7 linked regions of the Ovis aries genome follow. The protein of the gene in region 2 interacts with the protein of the main gene of each other region in a pairwise test. Links are inferred from orthologs where the notes say so. Each region holds a gene or a part of one and is shown on either strand. Other genes may lie near its edges.

The links.
Region 1: the proteins of DISC1 (region 2) and UTRN interact in a two-hybrid assay, tested with the Homo sapiens proteins (2 studies listed by BioGRID and IntAct). The link is inferred for Ovis aries from reciprocal best matches to the Homo sapiens genes DISC1 and UTRN.
Region 3: the proteins of DISC1 (region 2) and OLFM1 interact in binary tests that used the Homo sapiens proteins (3 or more experiments, as listed by UniProt). The link is inferred for Ovis aries from reciprocal best matches to the Homo sapiens genes DISC1 and OLFM1.
Region 4: the proteins of DISC1 (region 2) and PPP5C interact in a two-hybrid assay, tested with the Homo sapiens proteins (2 studies listed by BioGRID and IntAct). The link is inferred for Ovis aries from reciprocal best matches to the Homo sapiens genes DISC1 and PPP5C.
Region 5: the proteins of DISC1 (region 2) and FRYL interact in a two-hybrid assay, tested with the Homo sapiens proteins (2 studies listed by BioGRID and IntAct). The link is inferred for Ovis aries from reciprocal best matches to the Homo sapiens genes DISC1 and FRYL.
Region 6: the proteins of DISC1 (region 2) and KCNQ5 interact in a two-hybrid assay, tested with the Homo sapiens proteins (2 studies listed by BioGRID and IntAct). The link is inferred for Ovis aries from reciprocal best matches to the Homo sapiens genes DISC1 and KCNQ5.
Region 7: the proteins of DISC1 (region 2) and AGTPBP1 interact in a two-hybrid assay, tested with the Homo sapiens proteins (2 studies listed by BioGRID and IntAct). The link is inferred for Ovis aries from reciprocal best matches to the Homo sapiens genes DISC1 and AGTPBP1.

What each region holds. Positions count from the first base shown.
Region 1 is NC_056061.1:69,042,803-69,046,302, reverse strand, and holds part of UTRN (utrophin), read right to left. Parts: intron 3,410-3,500; coding exon 3,236-3,409; intron 810-3,235; coding exon 654-809; intron 1-653.
Region 2 is NC_056078.1:3,975,749-3,979,248, reverse strand, and holds part of DISC1 (disrupted in schizophrenia 1 protein), read right to left. Parts: intron 2,030-3,500; coding exon 1,803-2,029; intron 1-1,802. UniProt on the Homo sapiens protein: Involved in the regulation of multiple aspects of embryonic and adult neurogenesis. Required for neural progenitor proliferation in the ventrical/subventrical zone during embryonic brain development and in the adult dentate gyrus of the hippocampus.
Region 3 is NC_056056.1:1,395,144-1,398,643, reverse strand, and holds part of OLFM1 (noelin), read left to right. Parts: intron 1-824; coding exon 825-1,044; intron 1,045-3,500. UniProt on the Homo sapiens protein: Contributes to the regulation of axonal growth in the embryonic and adult central nervous system by inhibiting interactions between RTN4R and LINGO1. Inhibits RTN4R-mediated axon growth cone collapse.
Region 4 is NC_056067.1:53,378,727-53,382,226, reverse strand, and holds part of PPP5C (serine/threonine-protein phosphatase 5), read right to left. Parts: intron 474-3,500; coding exon 232-473; intron 1-231. UniProt on the Homo sapiens protein: Serine/threonine-protein phosphatase that dephosphorylates a myriad of proteins involved in different signaling pathways including the kinases CSNK1E, ASK1/MAP3K5, PRKDC and RAF1, the nuclear receptors NR3C1, PPARG, ESR1 and ESR2, SMAD proteins and TAU/MAPT.
Region 5 is NC_056059.1:67,859,188-67,861,621, forward strand, and holds part of FRYL (protein furry homolog-like), read right to left. Parts: exon of another isoform or gene 1,817-2,434; coding exon 1,706-1,816; exon of another isoform or gene 707-1,705; coding exon 516-706; exon of another isoform or gene 198-515; coding exon 1-197. UniProt on the Homo sapiens protein: Plays a key role in maintaining the integrity of polarized cell extensions during morphogenesis, regulates the actin cytoskeleton and plays a key role in patterning sensory neuron dendritic fields by promoting avoidance between homologous dendrites as well as by limiting dendritic branching.
Region 6 is NC_056062.1:630,751-634,250, forward strand, and holds part of KCNQ5 (potassium voltage-gated channel subfamily KQT member 5), read right to left. Parts: intron 3,196-3,500; coding exon 3,020-3,195; intron 2,448-3,019; coding exon 2,322-2,447; intron 1-2,321. UniProt on the Homo sapiens protein: Pore-forming subunit of the voltage-gated potassium (Kv) channel broadly expressed in brain and involved in the regulation of neuronal excitability.
Region 7 is NC_056055.1:33,977,582-33,981,698, reverse strand, and holds the start of AGTPBP1 (cytosolic carboxypeptidase 1), read right to left. Parts: upstream 2,801-4,117; 5' UTR 2,577-2,800; intron 1-2,576. UniProt on the Homo sapiens protein: Metallocarboxypeptidase that mediates protein deglutamylation of tubulin and non-tubulin target proteins.

The sequences.
Region 1 (3,500 bases), on a different chromosome or scaffold from region 2:
AGCTATGGTTTTTCCAGCCATCATGTATGGATGTGAAAGTTGGACTATAAAGAAAGCTGACCACCAAAGAACTGATGCTTTTGAACTGTGGTGGTGGAGAGGACTCTTGAGAGTGCCTTGGACTGCAAGGAGATCCAACCAGTCCATCCTAAAGGAAATCAACACTGAATATTCATTGGAATGACTGATGCTGAAGTTGAAACTCCAATATTTTGGCTACCTGATGCAAAGAACTGACCCATTGGAAAAGACCCTGATGCTCGGAAAGACTGAAGGTGAGAGGAGAAGGGGACGACAAAGGATGAGATGGTTGGATGGCATCACTGGCTCAATGGACATGTGTTTGAGTGAGCTCTGGGAGTTGGTGATGGATAGGGAAGCCAGGCATGCTGCAGTCCATGGGGTCGCAAAGAGTCAGACACAACTAAGCAACTGAACTGAACTGAAATGTGGACAAGAATCCCTTAGAAGAAATGGAGTGACCCTCATAGTCAACACACACTTTTAAAGATATATAATAAAAATTATTGGAATAAATGGAAACATGTATGATTGATGCCATAAAATTCAAATAAGCATTCTTCTCCCAGAAGTAAAATTTTAGAATACATAAATGAGAGAGACAGAGGGGGCAGTACACCTGCCCTGCTCACCTGGGCACCCAGGTCATTGTAGAGAACCTTCAGAGAAGTCAGCTGCTCATCCATCCCCTTAGGGTTGTCGGTTTGCTGCTTCTGGACAATGTGCCTTCCTGTTTTGATTACTGTCTCCACTTCAAGCTTGACTTCACTCAAAATTTTATAGAGTTTCTTAAAAATAAAGCCAGACAAATAATACATATTAGTGAAAATGTGGTAACTGGAAACATTTCAGAACATGGATGACAAAGATCGACAGCTAAGAACTAACCATGGAGATCAAAGGGCTTTATCTCTCTCAGATCTGGTTCAAAGAATGAGTAAGATGAAATCAAGGTTGTAATAATTTTTTAAATTCAGATAAGAAAATACACTCATAGGGATTATACTTGTCTTATTTAAAAAAGACTCAAACCTGTATCTTAAAGGTTTAGGGAAGTACTTGATAATATGAACATTTTTCCTACAAAAAATGGGAAACATGAGGACAAAAAGTTGAACGTCTAACATTTTTTAAAATTACATTTTTCAAAATCCTAAATGCCATTACTAGAAAAAAGCTAATGCTGGCTATTTCCGGCTGTGGGAATTTCAAAGTATTAAGATACAATTTTTTTCTTACAGTTCTCTGAAATACAAAGTCTACCACAATGAGCACATGTTAGTTATATAATGAAAAAACATATAAAAGTTCCATACATCAATATGTAAGAAGCTGAAGTTATATAGGTCAAATTCAGAGATGCCCTCATCCTCATTGCTTTGAAACTGAAAAGCTTTATCCTGGGCAGGTTCTCTTATCTCCATTCATCATAGTGTTGACCTGAAACACCCACGTGGCATGGCCCCATAGTAACAGACCATTGGACTAAATGACCCAAGATCAAGGACAGTGCTTGCTTTGGTGATCTCTGCATCTCAGTAAATATACCTGTACATTCATACATGCATATGCACACGTATTATGTATAAAAATACATCCTATTTGTTCATCCTTTCATTCATTCCAGTTTTTAAGTAATCAAACAATCTTCAGCATGCAAAGACATGTGGAGATTGCAGTTTTGAAAAGCACAAAGAACTCTTCCCAGACTTTTCTTAACATGTGTCATCTTCCGTTTTCTCATGATTCTTCTCAGGCAAAACCCCAATTCTAAGACTGAATACTCAGGCTGCTGCTGCCGCTGCTAAGTCACGTCAGTCGTGTCCGACTCTGTGCGACCCCATAGACGGCAGCCCACCAGGCTCCCCCGTCCCTGGGATTCCCCAGGCAAGAACACTGGAATGGGTTGCCATTTCCTTCTCCAATGCATGAAAGCGAAAAGTGAAAATGAAGTTGCTCAGTCGTGTCCGACTCTTCACGACCCCATGGACTGCAGCCCACCAGGCTCCTCCACCCATGGGATTTTCCAGGCAAGAGTATTGGAGTGGGGTGCCATTGCCTTCTCCAAATACTCAGGCACATGATCTTTAAATTTCTGTGCAACTGAATTTTAAAGTTCAAACTAAAAAGTAATAAAGTCTTTCAAATAATTTTTTCTTTTACATCTTAAGTTTAGATTTGATTTAAAATTTTATTTCCTAGAGAATGATTTTTATGCTACCATATGACTGACATCCATTCTAAGTATAATTTCTTCTTTCACACTTTAGGCTTAAACTGTATAAATTAATATTTAAAATTTTACTTTCTTTGAGAATGAATTTGCTGTACATTGCAATATTCCTGACATTCATTCTAAGTATGGTTCTTCTGGTAGTGGTTTAGTTACTAAGTTGTGTCCAGCTCTTGCGACCTCATGGACTGTAGCCTGCCAGATTCCTCTGTCCATGGGATTCTCCAAGCAGGAATACTGGACTGGGTTGCCATTTCCTGGTTCTTCTAGCTAACTCAAATTTATCCTTTAAAATTTAGCTGTTTAGTCACATTCTGTCAAAGCCTTCCCTAACTTCATACTGTGATTAAGATATGCTTTCTTCTTGTTTTTAAATCATGTTATATACATGTCTATTCTGGTTTCCTTATCTCATTACACTGTACTTCAGTTCAGTTCAGTTCAGTCACTCAGTTGTGTCCAACTCTTTGCAACCCCATGAATCGCAGCACGCCAGGCCTCCCTGTCCACCACCAACTCCCGGAGTTTACTCAAACTCATGTCCATCGAGTCGGTGATGCCATCCAGCCATCTCATCCTCTGTTGTCCCCTTCTCCTCCTGCCCCAATCCCTCCCCGCATCAGAGTCTTTTCCAATGAGTCAGCTCTTCGCATGGAGTAGCCAAAGTATGGAGTTTCAGCTTTAGCATCATTCCTTCCAAAGAACACCCAGGACTGATCTCCTTTAGAATGGACTGGTTGGATCTCCTTACACTGGAGTGATTGATTTTAATCTCTGCTGTCTCTCTCTCCTATCTCTTCTAATTTCCTAGGAGGAAAGAACCACACTTCTAATTTTCTAACCTGTTTTTCATCATTTATCCTTATTCTTAGCACATTTTAGACTAACAACAACTGAACAAACCATGTACATAAGCACTAGATGAAGCCATATTAGCAACAGGAAAACCCGTTGGACACATTAACAACCCAGTGGCCTTACCATACACTTGTCCAAGTGGGTCTGTATGACATCAGGGTCCACATCCTTCACATCCAGAATATGAAGCTCTGCTTTCACACCATCAAGCACACGCTTGCAGTCAAGCATGCGCTGTTCAAAGTTAGCAGGCTTCTGGAAAAGCTGGAACTTTGTGGACACCTCTCGAAGTTTCCTCTGTTGGCAGAAATGAAAATAATAATTCATGTTAGAATGATAAACTCTCTCAGCAGAGAATATTAGCATAATACATACTTCGAGAAGGGGT
Region 2 (3,500 bases):
GTGAAGGAGAAAGGGCACAGGCAGGCTTGATGGTCAGCTTCCTTTGACTAAAATCTGGCAACAACACACGCCCTCCCCTTCCCTGTGGATGGAGCCCAGGGTTAAAGCTCTGCAGGGAAATATCAGGGCTGGGACGGGGAGGGGAGGACATGGTGAGCATCTTCCTGGACGAGCATCCCAGCTGATACCACCGAGTGTGGCATGTGTAAGAGGGCAGATACTTGCTAAACAGTCTAAGACACATTTGGACAGCAGTTAGAAGGCTTCTGAAGATGGAAATCCCTGTGATGAGAAGGACAGGCACCATTATATGACAGTAAAGGGGCGTGCTGCCACCCAGGCACCATCATATGACCCTTATATTGATACATTTTAACCCAGTTCATCCGAGGAACAGCCCCCCGATAATAAGTGGTTCCAACTAATATATGGATGAGTAGATAGCAAGAGTCCCTATTCTCAGCCGCTACAGGTGGCAAGGTTTTCTTGAGTGTTTCCTGCAGCGTAATTGAGCAGCACATTCATTCCCCTCGTTGCTGCACCCGCTGCACCCTCAAGCCTCACCACCAGCTCGACTTCTGTCTAATAGGAGTAGGGGCAGGTTCCATCTTTGGCCAGAATAAGGTAATGACCTCCCAGAAGGTCAGAGGTCCACACGTATTTCTTGTGTCTTCCTCAACAGAGAGCACAGGGAAGGTTCTCCCTCCACAAGCGGGTAAGAAACTAGGCTTTGATGCAACAAACACGAATTTTAGTATCAGTTTTGTCTCTTATCAATTGAGACTTTGGCAAACTATTTGATCTTCCTAAGCTCTCTTATCCTCATCTGTGAAATGGATATAATAATAGACGCCACTCATCGCGTAAAGCTTAGCACAGCGCCTGACACACAGTAAGACTCAATAAATGCTGGTTGTCATGAATGATCATCTCTTCTTCCTGGTCACTGATTGAGTCTCCCCTCTTAGTAGCTCATTCCCTCCTTTGCCTCCAGGCTTCCCTGGCGGCTCTGATGATAAAGAGTCTGCCTGCCATGCAGGAGACCCAGGTTCGATCCCTGAGTCAGGAAGATTCCCCTGGAGAAGGAAATGGCAGCCCACTCCAGTATTCTAGCAAGGAGAATTCCATGGACAGAGGAGTCTGGTGCGCTACAGTCCATGGGTCGCAACGAGTCGGACACAACTGAGCGACTAACACTTTCTAACATTCCCCTTGTCTCCAGACGATTGTTGGCATCAAACTCTCCAACCGATCAAACTCCAACAGATCCCAAAGAGAGAGAAGGCGCCCGGGGGGCGTTAGGAAATGGGGAAGGTGCTGAGCAGAATGGAGAGAAAGAGGCATTTAGCAGGCTGTGTGCATCCTGCTCAGTCGCGTCTGACTCTTTGCAACCGCTCCTCTGTCCATGGGATTCTCCAGGCAAAAATACTGGAGTGGGTTGCCATGGCCTCCTCCAGGGGATCTTCCTGACCCCGGGATCGATTCGTATATGCCTGTGTCTCCTGCAGTGCAGACGGGTTCTTTACCCACTGAACCACCTAGGGAGCCCAATAGGCTGGGTAGCCACGGTGTAGAGCGTCCTGCAGTGGACAGGGCTGCCCCCACAAAGAAGGGCCTTGACCCTCAAAATGCCGGGAGTACTTTCCCTTGAAAATACACAGCACTGCTTGGAAAATACTGAGTTGACGGAAAAGTTCCTTGGCCAACCCAACGTTTACATATGTAGGACCGCAGACTAAATCAACCCCATAAACAGATCGACAAGGCGAGAGATCCAAAATCACTTAGGAAATCACCAGTACCTCTGGATGGCTTCAGGTGGCTCTGCACGGAGGGGAATCTGCTCGGCCAAGGCCAGGGTGTCCTGCAAGGTCTTGGTGACCTCCTGCAGCTCGCCCAGGGACAACCCTCCCACAAGGTCGCAGCCCTGCCACGGGAGAAGCCGCTCCTGCTCCTCAATTTCCCGTCTCAGCTGTTGATCTTTTGCTTCCAGAACAGACATCCTGGCTTGGAGGGTCTCAATTTCTTTCTGCAGAGAATGGAGAGAGCAGGTTTTGTAAATTAACCCCATTCATGGTCGACTACACTGCTGAGAACTCTCTCTTTACAGCAGAGTTCGCCACCTGCATGAGGGCCGTGAAGCTCCCCTTGAAGGCGGGCAGATTTTTGGAGGTTTGCTGAACTGGAAAAATCATGTCAGCTTTGTATTTCTGATTAGCTGGCATAAGGAAAAAGCTTCCCTCCCAAGCATTAAATAACTGCGGGTGGTGAGCCAAGAATTAGACTTGGAAGAATCCAGCAAATATGTAAACCACTTACTTATTTCAGGTGATAGAGCCAGAACAGAGTGCAACAAACTTCAGGGACTTGAGAGGCCAGCAAAGCAGCTAACACGACCAAAAAAGGAAAAGCAAACAAGCCTTGGCTGGTCTGCCCCCAAGCATGCAGATACAGCATGCAGAGAAAGACTAGAAGCCATAGTTTCCTAAGTCTAAGGATTGAAAGAACAGTGAGATGCCACAGATAGGGTTATGCAGCCTAAGGTTCATAAAAATATTAAATAAATTTAATTTCCACTAATATGACAACCCAAATCCCAAGAATTGAGTATCATCCAATCTTGAGGTCAATGAACCAAACAAGCAGCAGGTAATTGAATGCCCGCTGTGCACACAGCGTTATGGCAGATAATCATCTCAGTGCCCGTAGCATCCTGAATCTCCAATGAGACTCTTTTAATCAACATACGCCCATGGTTCCTGCGCTGGCCGCCAGCTGATAAGAGCACAGCTCTAATACTGGCTGTCTCCCCATCTCACCCATGTCCTCGCAACCCCAAGATGCCGACCACCCTACCTGATCTACCTGCTGACCCCTCCTCCAGTAGGGGCGGGAAGAGACACAGGAGGAGGTATTGAAGATCCACGGCTAAGACATGCTGAGAAGACAACAGCGTGTATCCCAGTGGTCCAAGATCATGGTGTCACTGACAGGGTCTCCCACCACACCTCCCTACTTCCTGCCTTTGAATTCCCATCCCTATTCTTTCTGTTTTTGTTTGTTTGGGTTTTTTCCACTGTAGTAAAATACAAGTAATAGAAAACTTACCATCTTAACCATCCATCTCCAGGATTCTTTTCATCCTGCCAAACTGAACTCTGACCCCCCTCTCCCCCTGCATTCAGCCTTGGAAGCCATCTTTCTACTTTATTTCTCTGTGACTCTGACTCCTCCGGGTGTCTACGTGGAATCATACAGTATTTGTCCTTTCATGGCTGGCTCATTTCACTTAGAATAATGTCCTCAGGGTCCATCCATGCTGTAGTGTGTGTCGGAATTTTCTTCCTTTTAAAGGCTGAATTTAAATGCTTCATTGTATTTATATACCACATTTTGTTTACCCAGGCATCCCCGGTAGCTAAGCTGGTAAAGAATCTGCCTGCAACGCAGGAGACCCTGGTTCAATTCCTGGGTCGAGAAGATCCCCTGGAGAAGGGATA
Region 3 (3,500 bases), on a different chromosome or scaffold from region 2:
CTAGCTCCTCCTTGCAAGCATGCTCTCCTAGTCCTCAGATCTTGAATGCTATGGCTCTGAGGGGCGGTGGGGGGGGGGGAGACAGGCTACCCTTGCTTCTGACCGCACTTTAATTGCCTTGAACACTTGCAGCAGCAGTTCCTGTGAGGGCACCTAAATGACTGTGAAAGCAGTTTGTCTGGACTGACTCTAGCCTTGAAGAGTGATTTTTTTTTAAGTGGACGGTGAAAATATTTGTCTGTTAATGGCTGTCTGTTTCAGGCAGGCTAGTAAGCTAGCTCTTCAACAGTTTTCATTTTCTTGCTTGCAGGGCTAACTTAAAAGAGTTTTTTCAATGCTGCAGACTGAAGAAGCAGTCCACTCCCATGTAACCATGACAGAGACCCAGAGAGCTTTTTTGCAGCCTGCATTTTTACTGTTATTTCCCGTTACTTAGCACCTGCCCCTAAGGAACCTTGAACACAACCAGGATCTCTTTTGCATGTGGCTGTAGATGCATTTCATGAATAGTTTGAACCCTTGTCAATGCATTTTTTGAAAAAACAAAAACAAACAAAAAAAGAGATACTTTGTGTATGTGACTTAAAGCATGTAACCATAAGATGTTGCATTCTAAACTGACAATAAAGACCTTTCCCAAATATGTTGGTGTTCTGAAGACTGTTTAATATACTCTTCTAACTCCTGTGGACCAGAATAAATCAATCTATAAAGAAAGCGGGAGTGTGGACATTTTCCCTTACCTAGGGAGAAGCCAGGCCAAGGCAGGGTGTTAGAAGTTTTTGCACGCATCGCACTGAACCCAGCTTATTTTAACCTTGCAGGCAATAAAAGCGAAAATGGATGAACTTAGGCCTTTGATACCTGTGTTGGAGGAGTACAAGGCCGATGCCAAATTGGTATTGCAGTTTAAGGAGGAGGTCCAGAATCTGACGGCAGTGCTTAACGAGCTGCAAGAGGAAATTGGCGCCTATGACTACGATGAACTGCAGAGCAGAGTGTCCAATCTTGAAGAGAGGCTCCGTGCATGCATGCAAAAACTAGGTAGGCCCAGAACCCTGCGGGCGGGGCACTGCACCGCCCACCTGCCGCTGGCTCACTCAGGCTCAGGGAGTGGTGCTGAACTGGACAGCGCCCGCCTGGCTTCCCCAGCGGTGGCTGGGTTAGGGCCCCTGGGTAGGGTTGCCTGGACAGGTAGCTGAGGAGTGTAGGCCGCGCCTGTCCTAGGGCCTTGTCCAATCCCGTGCAGAGGCCAGCTCACAGACCCCACTGAGCTGCACATCTGGAAAACTGATGTTAGATGTTACATGGCATCTGAAGAGAGTGTGTGTGCACGGGTGTGTGTGCGCTTGTGTCCCTGTGTGTTGGGTGGCTTTTTAGGACACGAGTTTCATAGAGCTGGAAGCACATCTCATCCCCTCCAGCTTTCAGGAAAGGGCTGACACAGCTCCCTGAGAAACCGAACCATGCAGAAAATTCCATCGCATCGAGGCGGAAGGCTCGCCATTCCTAACAAGCGAGGGGATCCCTCTGGCACCTGGAGGGTGCGGGGCTGGGAGCCGGTGGCCCCAAGGCTCCTTCCGAGTCTTGTCTGTGGTGGATACCCATCACCTTATCAACTTTCTGGTTAATTTAGCAAATCTTAACGTGTCCACGTCAGAGTCCATTTTGAAATAGCACATGTTAAATCCCAATTCCATTTTTAGGTTTTCTTAGGAAAGATTGGCTGGCCCTTCTCACTCACTGTTTTCTAACGCAAAGGTGGTTCATTTTCTTATTGTTTACTTTTTGGAGTAACAGCATGATTCTGCTTTATGCACGAGTTTCCTTTAGGTTTTATCTGGCGCTTTCACTTGGTCCTCTTTTCATCCCCTACCCCCCGCCCCCTGCACACTACAAATGCCGTATTTTAAACTTAAAACATCCCAAAAGAACAAGTACTTTAAAAAAAGAACAAACAAACAAACCCAGTGCTATTAGGTGGGAGACAGAAAACGTTCAAAGGGCAAGGAGACAGAGTCAGCCAACCTTTTGTGTGAATAGGTTCCCATGTCTGGGTTATTTTTAATGCTGTTCTAGGTGCCCTAGGAAAGTCCCCCAGGCCCAGCGAGGGCAGTGAGCGATGCTGGAGGCTTGGAAGGAGTCCGCTGTGGTGTGTGCGCTCGTCCGCGCCTTGTGAGGGATTCTGTGCTACTGTTTTTTCACATGTGGTGCCTGGTGCCCAAGTCCTGGTGTGTCCGGGGCTGGGTGACCTGGGACAGTTTCAGGACGGGTCTGGGCTGGACGGTCTCCACCCGCCCTTCCCATATCAGCGTCCAGGAGGCAGCAGGAATGCTTGGCGTATTGCTGGGTGTCGGGCTTCTCAGTGGTTACGGGCTGTGTGGTAACCTCTGGTGGGCACTGTCTTTGGCTCCTGCCTGTGAAGGCGCTACACTCCCATCCCACTCTCCAGACCCTCCGGACACTTCCCCGACACTTCTCTCTTGTTACTCATTTCCGCACAGCACTGTTTTTATTCCCTGGTAGACAGACCACGTAGACCAGTGAGAAACCAAGATTAAACCTCCACATTTTCTGATTAACAGACCAAGCAGTAAGGTGGAAATTCAGAGAGAGAAGTTAGCTCTGATGAGACGCTAGGCGCCTTTCCAGGAGAAGGCTGCCTGTCCCAGGCGGGTGGCCTTCCCCTCCAAACTCGGCCTATTTTTAGAAGCCGGCTGAATTCATTTTTCAGGCTAGCGATCTTGGGGCTTTCACGTGGCTGCCCTCGGGCCGCTGAAATGGCCCTCTCGGGAGCGAGGAGAGAGGACGAAGAGGCCCCCGGAGCCCTGCCCTCCACCGTGGAGTGCAGCCGCTTCTGTGCTTAATTCCTTCTTCAGAAAGACCTTGGCACAGAGATGGATGTGCTGAGCCAGTGGCAGCGGGGTCGGGGGTGGGGATCTGCCTCTAACCAGCGCTTGGCAGGCAATTCAGGAGGGCAGCAGCCGAGGGCCCCGCCTGTTGGTGTCCTGAGGCAGGAAGTGCCACTCGGTGGCCGTGTGGCTCAACCAGGGCACTGACCACTTCCGGTTCCGACCTCCCCTCCATCTATACAACGAAGGCAGAGGAGTCCCTGTGCCCTGGGGTCGCTGTGTGTGAGTTCACGTCGCGGATTGTGCAGCGAGCCCGGCACAGAGGAGATGGTGGAAGCACACGAGGGCAGGTGAGGAGGTCGTAAGGGATAGTGTGGTCGGCAGGTAGAGAGAGTATGAGACAGATGGCCGGCAGGGAGGCAGGCGGAGGGCAGACCACAGGCTGTAGGTTCAGCTGCAGCCTCGCCCTCACCCTAGCCTTCACTCAAGCTCGGCGGCTTAAACCCCAGCTACTATCCTGTGGCCACTTCATTTAGTCTTTATTTTAGGTACAAGTAGGTGCCCTCTTAGCAGGCTGTTTGCCTTGCTGGGAGGCAGCTATGAGCATAGCACAAGTAAGCCAGCTGCCCACACAGTGCCATCTTGGGT
Region 4 (3,500 bases), on a different chromosome or scaffold from region 2:
TCATGGATACAGGGAAGAATGCGCAGAGAGGCCAGGTGACTCGCCCAAGGTCACCAGGCAGCAAGGGCAGAGCTGGGCTGTGAACCCAGCTGGCGTGTGCTGGATGAGCGAGCGGTGAGTAAATGTGAGCACAGCCTCCTCACGCCTTGCCCGTCAGGTCTGGCCAAGCACCAGGAGGTCCCAGCCCACCCGCCTGGCCCTCAACACCAGCCTGGTTCAGGCCCGGCTCACCGTCTCATAGTCACGCAGGGCGGCCCGGAACTTGCCCAGCGCCATGTTGCTGGCGGCCCGGCGGTAGTAGCCCTTGATGTACTTCTTGTCCATCTCGATGGCCCGCGTGGCGTCGGCCAACGCGTAGCCGTAGCACTCGGTGCGCAGGTAGGCCAGGCTGCGGTTGCCATAGTAGATGGCATTGCTGGGGTTCAGCTCGATGGCCTGGCTGTAGAACTTGATGGCGTTCTCGTAGTCCTTGGCTGTGAAGATAACAGGAAGGGGGGGCGGGGTATGAGGCAAGGGTGTCACCCCCAGCCAGCAGGGGTCCTAGGCTGGGGACTGCCCAGTCCCCCCACTTACAGATGGAGAAACTCAGGCCCAGAATGGAGCTCAGAAACGTCTCTCCAGCCCGCTCCCCTTCCTGACTTGTCCCACCCTAGCACAAGCCCAAATCCCTAACTCCCTAAATCACTTCCACATACCTGCCCACCCAACCATCGCCCCTCAAGGCCCCAGCTAGGCAACACTTCCTCCGGAACTTCCGGAGGGTCTTCTGAATGTACCCCAGAGAGGGTATGTTAGTGAGTGCCAGCCCTGAGATGGTAATCAGCAACTCAGTCTGCCCTGAGCCCCAAAACAAGTATACAAGCCCAAAGAGGGGTTCCAGTAAAACAGAAGTGGGGACAGAAAAGGGACCTACTTAGGGCTCAGGAAGGTGACACAACAGAGACTCAAAGGAAGCGATAAACCAGACCAGAGGGAGAGCCTTCCCCATGGAAGGACTAGCAGGTGCAAAGGCACTGGGGAGGAGAGCACGAAGTTCTAGGACCAGCGAGAGGGTGGTGTGTCTGGGGCGGGGTGAGCCTGGGGAGGGTAGGAGGTGAGGGCAGGGGAGCTGGCAGGACGCATCCCAAAGTCCACAGCCAGAGCAGGGTGCAGCGACAGGACATGACATCTGGCCTAGGGGAAAAGTCCATTTTATTTGAAATGAGCCACGGCTGTGCCCTGCCTGTTACACCTCGACCCGGGGCATCCGCACATCCCCACGGCACAAGCACCGTCTGGTGCTCCCTCTACAGCAAGCCACAGAGGTCTTGTTCAAGGTCAGACGCTCAGTCTGTATCTGCAGAGCTGTCTTGGCCCATGTGGCTGTTCAACAGGCAGGAGACGGAAGCCAGGGGGAGCGCCCGACCTGAGGGTACGTGATGTGCCAGGTGCCTTGGGGGGCTCTTGGCACACAGGTCCCTGCACAGGTCCCTCATGGCACCCCGAGGACGGCTGCGTTAGCCCCACTTCCAGATGAGGCTCTAAGAGGGAAACCACGTCCCCAGGCAAGTGGCAGACAGGGGTTCCGAAGCAGGCGAAGCGCCACGGGCTCCCACGGTCACCCTCTGCACGAGGTGGCCTCTGGGGGGACCGGCACAGGGCAGACACGGACATGGGGGCAGGCAGTCTGGGCCCCATCCCCGCTCTACTCCCAGTGAGCTGTGTGTCCTGGGGCAACTTACGTACCCACTCTGGGCTAAAGTTTCAGAGAGTCCTCCGGACCCTCAGCCTAAAGTAAGAACTCCTGCCCTAACTCCCACTGTTCTTTTCCCCAGAGGCATCTGAGAAAACAGGACCTTCCTTTGTTGTGTTTGCTTATTGCCCAGCCTCCCAATGTGAACTTAAGTCCTGTAAGGGCAGGGGCGCTGTCTGTCTTACTCTGAACCCTGGCCCTGTCTGAGGACACAGCAGTCCCCCGCCCTGCTGTCCAGGGGCTCACGATCCAGTTGGAGGTTGGGACGGCACACAGATCACCGCCCCCCAGGCCGTGACACCCGCAGTGCTGTGGCTGGGGCCACCCAGTGGGGATGCCAGGGCTGAGACTCGGAGGAGGAGGAGTCAGGAGAAAAGAACGGAAGAGGACTCCCGGCTCCGTGAGTGGTTCCTGAATGAATGAAAGAAGGTAGGAAAGAAAGAGAAAGACGGACACACCGACAGTAGAGAAGGAAGCCAGGTGCTGCGAGGTGCCAGGAACAATGTTACGATTCCTTCCGCAGGCGAATGTCTGGCAATCTTTCAAATGGCTCGGATGTCACCTCCTTTGAGAAGCCTTCCTTGACACCCAGGCGGGGTCAGGCACCTTTCTGAGCGGCCCCCGCCCCGAGGCCCCGCTCTCCCAGGCCTCCCTCTCTGGGCAGTCACCGTTAGGTGATGGGTGTGTCTCCCCAGGACCGTGAGCCCTGGCTGGAGGGCAGGCCCAGGACTTCCCAGAAACATGCCTGGGCAGAACGAGGCAGCCGAGTCTGACCGACCCTCCCTGGAATGCCAACACCTTCGAGGACTCCTTCCAGCCTCCTGGCCGGATTCCAGAGGCCGGCAGCCAGCGTGCCTGCTGTGTACCTCTGGGCACGGGGTGGGGAGCCTGACATCAGGCTCTGAGGATCCCGACCATGAGACCCTAGACAGATAGCCTCCCCTCTCTGAACCTCAGCTTGCTCATCTGAAATGTGGGAAGCACAACTGGTCCCGCCTCATGGGCTGGCTGTGAGGGTTAAAAGAACTCCCAGATGAAATGTGGCTACAGCCGAGAAAGCGATCAGCAGATGCTCGTAAAAGAACGGACTGAACAACCGACTGGAGGGGAGAAGAGACTAGAAAAGAGGAAACGGGAGGGGCCTGGGCTTCACACAGCTCTCGGACACAAGATCCCAGCCCTGCTCTACAAATATGAGTGCACTTAACCCTCAAGGGAGGCCCCATTTTAGAGAGGAGAAAGCGAGGCACAGAGAAGTTAAGGTCTTCCCAGGGGTCACACAGCAACTAAGACAAAGAAACAAGATTTGAACCCAGGCAGCCTGAGCTCTTAACCGGGTGAAGTCTTGGACTCAGGGGCCTCCTTCGGGGTTAAACGGAACCCCTCTCTTTGTACAGAAGGCGGTAGGAGGCGAAAAGGCTCAGAGAGAGGGGAAGAGGGGTGAATGACAGGAGGGACCAGGCTCTTCCCCCCGGGGCCTCTGGATCAGGCCTGAGTTCCCAGGGGTCAACCAGCTAGGGTCCTGCAAGCCCCTGGGGGCCCTCATCTCCCTGCTCACCGCCCCGGGGCCAGGACGGCTCCAGGTAGGGCTGCGGGTAAGGACTCTGAATGTGGGAGCCAAGCACGTGGTGAGGAAGGGGGATATCCGGGCCGTGCCGCTCGCACACTCTGACCTTGAGCAAGCGGTTTCACTTCTCGGAGCCTCAGCTTCCTCTATAAAACAAACAGGGCCCGCTCCTGCCTGCCTCCCAGCGCCCGGGGGAGGATT
Region 5 (2,434 bases), on a different chromosome or scaffold from region 2:
GCACCGTGCGTAGAGACTCTCTTATTTCTAGGTTAAGTTCCATCAGTTTGTAGTTGGCTTCTGACATGTCCAGGTCAGAGCCTATGACTGCAAAGCTTCCCGTCTGGCCCAGCGTCTGGTGGTGGAAATAGATGTGTAATAGCGTCTGGACAGGGGCGTCTTCACAGCTGCCAAAGATGTCATTGGGCCAGAGAGATCTGAAAGCACACAGTATTTGTAAGTCCTGAGAGTCATAGCAATCATTCCAGATTAAGTACTTTTAAGTTAATACTTACAAAAAAAGTAATTTCCTTATGAATCACTGAGGATCTGTTTTAACATTTTAACAAATATTACTGAAAGTAGCACCGAGAATGAACAAAGTCTAGAATTGGTGTCATTGCATTGGTAAGTGTACAAAATAAGGTCATGTTTTCCTTTCACAAAGATTGAGACATCAAGTTGAAAACCCAAACTCCATCATAAATTTCCAGTTAGGTATAAAGGCATCTCCTATAAATCCCTTCACATTTTACCTGAAAGCTTTGACTTGTGCTACAGCTGATATAAATTCCTTATTTTTCAAAGTTTCAATTAAAGAATGAATGGCAGTTTCTATAGTAGTTTGTGCAGCTTTGGAAATGTCAATTTCTTCGTTTTCTGAGGCAGACTCAGCTTCTTTGAGGATACTTTCCAACTGGGCAAGTTCCTCTGACATGTTGAAGACCTGAAAGAAATAAATATACCTTAAAGGGATCAAATTTGTACATTCAGTAACAATACTGAGTACTTACTTAGCTGTGAAATTACATCTGATGATGGTAATATTTTCTCTTCAAGATTATTTTCAGTTGTTAAACTTAGGACAGTTAATATTTCAAGTTCTCTATTCAGCTGGAATAATTTCAGCTGCCAAACAGTAGTCTTTAGATACTCTTGATAAAACAACAGGTTAAATGTAATAAATGTTATCAATACCTTGTAATAAGTAAAACAATAGGTTGTTTATATTGGTCTATATTTTAACATGTGATAACATGTTATACATACTTCATCTTGGATAGTAAAAATACATTTATATTATTGTTTCGTAACATAAGGCCTGGAATTCTGGGAGGATCATGAAAAAAAATTGACAGTAATGAGATGTCTTTATATTTTAAAGGGCTATTTCTCCAAGGTATTTTATATAAGCCGGTATGTATGTTTTTTTTTTTTTTAAAGTAAATTTAGAAAATGCAGTGTTTTCCTTGGTGATAGTTCTGGTACCAGTGGTTGGCAAGAGGGAAAGATTCTAAAAGTGAATCTGTTCATGCTTTCTAATACCTGCAGTGTTCTTGATGTGTTTATTTTTGTGTGAGTTACTAGAACTATAGAAATACTACATGGACAAGATGTTAGGGGGTTTCATAATACAATTTTGTCTTTATTGTATTGACGTGCTTCACTTGATTTTTGATTACAGATGATCTATTGCTGCTATTGCAAACTTTAACGTCTCAAACCTTTTAAGATCATTGGATATCTGCTTTTAGATTTACTAACTGGTCCTAAAATAGCACATCATTTCAAAAACTGATAATACTTAACTATGGGGGGAAAAAAGACCCACTAGCCACTCTCCATAAGTGACTTTCGACCTTAGCACTCCTACAAGGAAATAAGCATGAATGTATTTTAATTTTGTACGATCAGTTACTAATGCCTACTACAACTGAATATTTACCTCTGCTTCATTTTTTATTGTGTTGACTTGGTTGATAAGTTTACAGTAGGCTTGGAACAGAAGCAGCAGTTGAAAATGCAATTTGTATAACCTTCGACAGAGCTCCAGTTCCTAGAAATAAATAACACCACGTTAAATTTAGGTGTTATTTTCCATATTTGATGAGACAACAAAGTTCCAATTAAAATTTAAAAGTAAATAATTATTTTAAATTGTTCTGAGATTTATCTTTCTGCAGTAAGCAAGTTAATATGGTATGAAGTTGATGAAACACAGATGAAAGATGCTCTGAAGACTGGGATTAAAATAAAAATTTTAAGATTATTGGTTACATAGTTCATTTTTAGTGTGATACATTTTCACATTAGACAAATAGAATTTTTAGCAGGCAATAAATAGAATGCTTTAAAATGGATTCACTAGAACTTAAAACTTTAACTTCATAATGAAAATAATTTACAAATTCATATACTCTTGCTACATTGAGATATACATCTCATTGCATTTATCAATAAGTGCTTGATAAAGCAAAAACTGGATAACCTCTCATCTAAAAAGTAAGAATAGTTTGCTTTTTAAATTAATTCCTTTTTCTAAAAAAAGAAAAACAATTTTATAATCTCACTGAAACAAGACAAATTAAAAAATGCACTTGGATTATTAAAATTAAATTTAAAAGGAGATTCATTAGAGGTGTAAAAAGGCAACTGCTGGTTGTACATATTAATT
Region 6 (3,500 bases), on a different chromosome or scaffold from region 2:
CCAGGCCAGAATACTGGAGTGGGTAGCGTTTCCCTTCTCCAGGGATCCCTTGGTTGATCCCAACCCAGGGATAGAACCTAGGTCTCCCGCTTTGCAGGCAGATTCTTTATCAACTGAGCCACAAGGGAAGCCCAAGAATACTGGTGTGGGTAGCCTATCCTTTCTCCAGGGAATCTTCTCTACCCAGGAATCGAACCAGGGTCTCCTGAATTGCAGGCAGATTCTTTACCAGCTGAGCTACCAGGGAAGCCCTAAGTACAGGTTAAACTTCAGTCGAATAGCACTGCTGCGCTGAAATCAATGAATAGATGCTGCTTTTCCCTGAAAGGCACAGAGATGACCTTTGGAAACCTGCTACGTGGGTTATTCTGGCAAAGAAACAAGCTGGTGACTAAGTACATGGAGAATTTCCCCCACACACTCAACACACAATGCAGTAGGCAGGGGTTAAGTAGGAAGGAGAGTAGTAGGAAGATGGATGGAAGGCTAGAGAGGTGCCAGGTGGATGCACCAGCAGCTGCACCTCAGTACAGAAGGGCGCCCACGGGTCTCAGTCATTCAGCCACATTAGGATTTTCACAGCGATGCAGAAACTAAAATTCAAATCGCTGTCTTCCCCTTGCTGGCTAGAAAAACCTCCTTTTTGCTCAGTTTACTCAGTTTATCCCCACTATGAGTCATACATTTTCACTTGTTCTCAACACATACAAAGTATTTTAGGCATGTCAGATGACAGCTCTCTTCTGGGTTTTCCACTTTCCTTCTTTCAAAGTGGTCATTATTGCTTGTGGGGGAGGGCAAGGAGTTGGAAACCAAATTATGAAACAACAGGATGCTTTGTTATCAGTGACACAATCTTGTAGACATTTAGCTCTGACAATCTAAGGAAAAAGAATCTTAATCTTCAAACGACTATACTTCTGATTCTTACTCATTTTATTGCTGCTATACCAGGTTCTGCTTACTTCAAGCCCTGATGAGTTATCCTCGTCTTTGATGACAATTCTAGTTCTCACTGATGAGCTTCTGACAAATAGCGGAAGAGCGCAGCAGTGAGCTCCACGGGGCAGACTGGCTAACAAACTTACTAATGCTTCAATCATAGTTTAAGAAGATGATGCATTTTTACTTTGGCAACAATCTAACACTCAAGAAATATTACAAGTGCTTTATAAGACAACAAGTTTGCTGGACCAAAGAGACTCTTCAGACAACTCTAACTGCTGTTGTATTTTCACCCTTTTGGCACATATTAAGGAATAAAATAAAAAGAAATGCAGTTTACACATTGCATAAAGCATTCCTTTATCTTAAAACATTCTTATTAGGGTACACAATTCAATGACTGCTTAATAAATTCTTTACAATAGAAAGACAATTTTTGCTTCAGTGCAAAACTATGTGTTGTTTAGAGTATGTTCTTCTAGGTTATCGATTTCTGATTTGATGGGGTGGGGGGGGGCAGACTCTGTACCTTTCATGGCCTTTGAGCTATTTTAGGATTGTGTAAGTTGCAGCAGGAATGCAAAATAATTCTTGTCTATAGATATGTAAAGAAATTCTGTCTGGTGGGGGCGCCTCTGACTTCCTGCTTTCACTGTGGAAGAAGCCAGGTTTGCCTCTGTTTGCAGATTCAATACTCCTAATCTTTACACACTTCTGTTCTGTGGATAGTCCTCTGAACTGGCTGTAACATCTTCTTAGTTCCTTCACTGATAATGACTTAAAATATTTACACATGCTTTATTTTCTATGTGTACGAGAGTCATGTTTTAACTTTTATTTGTTTGGAAAACCATCCTTTAACAACAATATAAAGGAAAAAGAGTAGAAACATTTGAAACACAGTGTCTGTAATCTCTGATCTCACAGATGGTTACCACTCTTTTCTCTTTCCCTTTTTGTACCAAAATTTTACTCATAGCTTTTGTTCAGCTACTATTTCTTTTTTTAAAGCCTCAGATAAACTTTCTGATGAGTGACAAACAACACAACAATTTGTACTTCAAAGCTGCGCTCCACAAAGTTAAATAAGTGAGCTCGTGAACATTTTAATCAAGGTTAAAAAATTATTCATTTTTATTTTGCAACAGACTGGCACGCATGAAGCAGTAAGTTGATTTGTAAGAGAACTTTGTTAGACCTAAGCCGGTGAGGCAACTCTTCAGATAATTAAAAGTGCTGCGTATTTGCACAAAACTAACTTCCCTTTTGGAAGTTCTTTTATAGTATTACTGAGACCACTCATGGGAATCACTGCACTGTATTCAAAGGAAACATCTCACAACATCCCATAAATAAAACCGGATTTTCCCACTCACCGTGCCCCACCAGAGAGCATCTGCGTAGGTAGAGAACTCCTTATTAGCATCCTTTTCCACCAGATAGACAAGGAAAGACGAAAAAATCAGAACCAAAAATCCTATGTACCAAGCTGTGATTAATTCCTAGATATAAAAAGAATGAGAGATGTTTTAGAGGTGAAAAATACTCGAAACACAAACAAAAACAAAATCTAAGCATGATTTCATGTCTTTGACTACTGCTTGGGTATGGTGGTGGTGGTGGTGGTGGTGGTGGTGGTTTAGTTACTAAGTGGTGTCTGACTTTTGCGACCGCATGGACTATAGCCTGCTAGGCTCCTCTGTCCATGGGATTCTCCAGGCAAGAATACTGGAGGGGGTTGCCATTTCCTTATTCAGGGGATCTTCCCGACCCAGGAATTGAACCCGGGTCCTGCATTGCAGGCAGATTCTTTACCGACTGAGCTATGAGGGAAGCCTTATAGATATAAAAAGAAAGAGAGATTTTTTAGAGGTGAAAAATACTTGAAACAGGAACAAAAACAAAATCTGAGCATGATTTCATGTGTTTGACTACTGCTTGGATATTTATGGTGACTTTTACATAATCCACATTGTGTCCTCGCATGGCTTTAGTCAGTTTCTGAAAAGCCCAAGTTTGCTTTCGAAGAGTCTGGCGACCAGGGCGGCCGCGGGTGCGGAAGGTGCGAGCTCACCTTGCTGTGCGCGTAGACCACGGAGCCCAGCAGCTTCCAGGTGCCGCCGCGCCGGTCCATACGCACCATGCGCAGGATCTGCAGGAAGCGCAGGCTGCGCAGCGCCGACGTGGCGAAGATGTTACCCTGAGTTTTGGCAGAAACGACCGCTATGGAGGCGATGAGGACAATGGTATCTGAAAGAAACAGGTTGAAGCAGCCGTTAAGTCGCACAGCCAAGAGGTTTTCGTTTCCCAGAGAGGATTTCAGAACGCGTCACTTTGGCCCTATCTGGGGCCCTGGGAGCAGGACTTGAGCTCCAGGCTGGCGGCCGCCACGTGAGCTCTGTGACGGCCGAGGAGCGGAAGGTGGAGGACGGGGCCTTCTGCTGACCCGTTCTTACCCCTCGGCGGCCATTCTCTGCTTTAGCCATCCTGTTTGGACCACTTCCTGTTTAACTTTCGAAGACCTGGACGTGGCCTTCAGAAGGTCTGGTGCTCTG
Region 7 (4,117 bases), on a different chromosome or scaffold from region 2:
CCGCCACCACTGTGAGGGAGACAATCCAAGGTCCTGTCAGAAGGGACAAACGGATACTTCAGCCACTCTCCAGCAGCATCTCAGGACGCCCAGCTCAGGGTCTAGCTGTTCTATTTTAAACTAAATTATATGCTTCCAAGACAGGACAGTAACACTAAGCTCTCAGCCCCAAAAGAGCAAATGGGTCTTAGTGGGATTAACCTGGAGTAACAGGACTCAATCAGCCCAAAGCCCTTTTTCGGCTATGAGATCCCCTGTGCTGAGGAAACACAGAAGCAATAATAATATTTACTGAGCATTTTCTATGTGCTAGGCACTGTGGGCTAAGCACTTAACATTCAAGATCATCTTAAGAGTATACACCATAATTATCCCCATTTTTGGAGTTGAGAAAACTGAAGCACAAAGAAGGTAAATAACTTGCCCAAAGCAAAGGCAGGATTTAAATCCGGCCTGTCTGACTCTGAGGCCCAGCCCCTTAGCCACTACACTACAGTACACACAGGCAAGTAACCAACAATAATACATAAAGTTTAAAGTCAACGTCCACTGTTCATACTGCCAAAGAGAAGCTTCCAATTTGCAGAGAGCCCTCTGACAGGTTCATCCATTACTCTGCGGGTGCTGTTCAACTTCCAAGTACCAGAGGACCTCAGGCAAGAGTAGATTTTGGAAGGTAAAACTGCAGAGGACATTTTCCTTTAGTCCAAAATATAGAATATAAGTTAGATAATTTCACAAGTCTTGGACCTCTTTGCCTTCTGCAATTGAAGATAAAACCATTATTATATAAGAATCAACTAGACTATTCCAAAGAGAATAATGCCTCAATTCAAATCAATTGATAGAGCTTTATAAAAACTGCTTTTACAAAATTTCAAATTACACTATACATCTAAATGTTTTGCAATGTGGCTAATTACAAGGCTAGCTCTATGTTTATGCCTTTCACTTCAGTGTTCAGAGTGAGAATGCAGTTTCAAATATGTGTTGAAGCAACTCAAGGCAGAGTTTTAAGGTCATTAAAAATGAACCTAGAACTTCACTGTAGAAATTAATTCAAGCAAAGTGGAAAGGGAAGCAGAATAAGTCAAGTTACAAATCAGCCTTAAGGATAAGGAATAAGGAGTGAATAAGCGCTAACTATCTCACAGTAATTACAGAAGAAAATACTTAGAGATATTTCAGAGTTTTTGTTTAGTTTTAACATTTGGCACACGTTTTAAAATATGTACCATACAAAGTGCCTTAAATAAACTACTATTTTTTTGGCCTACTGAACTGAAAACATTCCACAATATAATTACAGAAATAACTTTCTGGTTTTCTCAGGGATAAAAAAAAAAAAGACATTTTATAAAACAAATTCAGAGGATAACAAAGAAAGAGATAACTCGATTTACATAAAGATTCCAAGAAAGACAGAAATGGTAAGTGAAAATGAGTGATCCAGCAGACTGTTAAAAGTCCTTTCTACCCACAAACTGTACGAACTACATCATAGACACTGCTACAAATGTACATCATAAACACTGTTACAATTTTGAATACCTGAAAGTAAGAAGAAAAACAAACCCACGCAGAATGAACATTGCCACAGAAAATTTCTACTGAGTCTTAAAACATATTAAGTTATCAGCAGTGCTAGACCTGCAGGCACTTGAGGAAGCTATCTTAAAAAAGAGAAACAAGCTTTATGTTATCAACATTCACAACGATGTGTAAAACTCTATTCTAAGATGGATAAATACCCAGGAAAGGAAACCGACCGACTCAAACCTGCACTGGTACATTAAGAGACTTAAAGACGCAGGAGGGTAACCACCGTGGAGCCCAGCAAGCCTTTGCGTAGGGTTGCAGGTACCCCTGCACACTCGCATGAAAAACCCGCAACTCGGGAAGGAAGGCTGGAGGGAAACTCTGCACTGTCATCTAGGGCGATCTCCTTCATGTCCAAATCAAACCCACAAGGCGACAAGTTGTAAGCAGAGAACACACTTCGGATCAAGTCAACCACAGAAAGGAAGCAAGCTCGGCCATCGCCGTCGTCACACCACTACCCACCTTGAAGCCGGGTGCACTTAGGGGCTGAGAGCTGGGTAGGTGTGGAGGCAAGGCGCGCGCCCGGCCCTGCCCACCGCCCCTCCGCACCGCTCAGCTCTGCGCTGCACCGCGGTCACCGCCGAGAGAAAGGAAGAGCAGGGCAGGGGGCCGCCTCTGCTCGGAGACCTCACCGGCTACCCTCTGCGAGGGCTGGAGAGGGGACGACCGAGTGACCATGGGTGGGGGCGGGGTGGGGCGTTTCCCAGAAATCGGCCAAAGCCCCCACCCATCAGGGATTCCCTTCAAGACCCGGTCCACCCCAGAAAGACACGGGTTACACAATCTGTCAGGTAAGGGGCCCAGAGGTAGCAGGGCGCAGACCGAGGAGGGCCGGGGGTCGCTCCTTCCTAGCTTCTCCCGCCCCCAAGACACCGCGGCCGGGGAGAGCGAAGTGGTGGCTGGCTGGCGGATTAGCCGCGGCCGAGGGGCTGCCGGCCAGGACGCGCGGACGGCGGCGGCGGCGGGGAGCTCACCGGCTCAGGATGGGGCGCTGGCAGGAACTAGGCAGAGCCGCAGCACCCGGCTCGGCGTCGGCAGCGCGAGCGGCTGCTCTCCCGACACACCGCGGATACCTAGTCGCCCGCCGCCGGGTGTTTTCATACAAACCCCGGTGGCAGGCGAGGAGGAGGAGGAGGTGGCAGTGGCGGTGGCGGCGGCGGCGGCGGCGGCGGAACCTGCCCGCATCCCAGGCAACGTCAGCGCGGCGCCCCGCCCACCGCACTCTTCAGCCCGCCGGCTCGCGCGCGCCGGGCGGGAGGGAGGGCGGGGTGCGCGTGCGCGCGGGCCGGGTGAGCGCGCTCCGCGGAGAGGGCGGGGTGAGCGCGGGCGGGAGCAGCGGCGGGGGCGCGTTAGGGAGCGCGCGTGAGAACGGAGGGAGCGCGCGCAGGGGGAGGACTAAGGGAGCGCGCACAGGGGGAGGGCGGGGAGCACGCGCAGGGGGAGGGCGGGAAGCGCGCGCCGTTGTTTGGGGGCGGGGGAGACCCGGGCGGGATTTTGGAGCGGGTCCTGTTCGGGACGCCGGCTGTTGTACCCTGCAGCTGCTGCTCTACCCAACCAAAGGGGTCTCCGGGCGGCTGCCCACATCCCGAAAGTCACCTTCCTTTACGCTCCCAATTAGAGCCTCCGCTTTTCCCCAAAACTAAGCTGGAGCGCACCCCCACCCTCTTAGGAGGCTTCTGCGGCGCCGGACCAGCGGTTCTTAACTCTCGGACTTACGTGAGGTCGCATTGGACCCTGAGGACCGCGGTAAAATTTAGCCTTTTCCTGACCTCAAAGAGAGCTCAAGATAAGACGATAAAGGCAAACAGCTATCACATCTGAGCTCCCAGAAACAATGAAATTTCACCTTGTGGCAGTGCCTCCATAAATCAGGTATCTAGCTCTGCAACGAGCAAAATAGCGTGCTGATTTATTTTTTGCCTTTTTTGTAAACCTGCGTACAAAAGTCTCAAAAATGGTAATGCTAAATTAGCCGCTGAAGGCAGAGATGGAATGTTTTATCTGAACCAAAGTAATGTGTCAGACAGATTAAAATACTGATACACTCTCTTCTGTTTTGACTGTATGTAAATATGCTATAATATATTCCTAATAAAGGCTGACATTTACTTTCTTTCAAGAGCATGGATCATCTTTGCTGCTGTTTATAGTAGCTGATAAGGAATGTAAAGTTGTTACAACCAGATAGGGAAATAAATTGAGAGCTCTAAGGTTTTGTTTTGTTTTCTTATCATCCTGTTTAAAAGAAAGTAAGCAGGTGTGAAGGCCATTCAAAAGGTAATCCAAGGTACATCCTGCAATTTGCCCTTGGCAAGTGTCCTACTCAGATAAACAAGAGACTAACATTTTAACTAAATCCTGTAGTTTCCTTGACTGTGAGCACCAAAGGTAGGTTACAGTGCTTTAGATAATTTTAAAACAATTACCACACCAAACCACCCAGCCTGAAAAGCATTATCTGAAAACACCTAATTACCTAAATATTTAACATTTCACAAAAATTAAATATATGTGA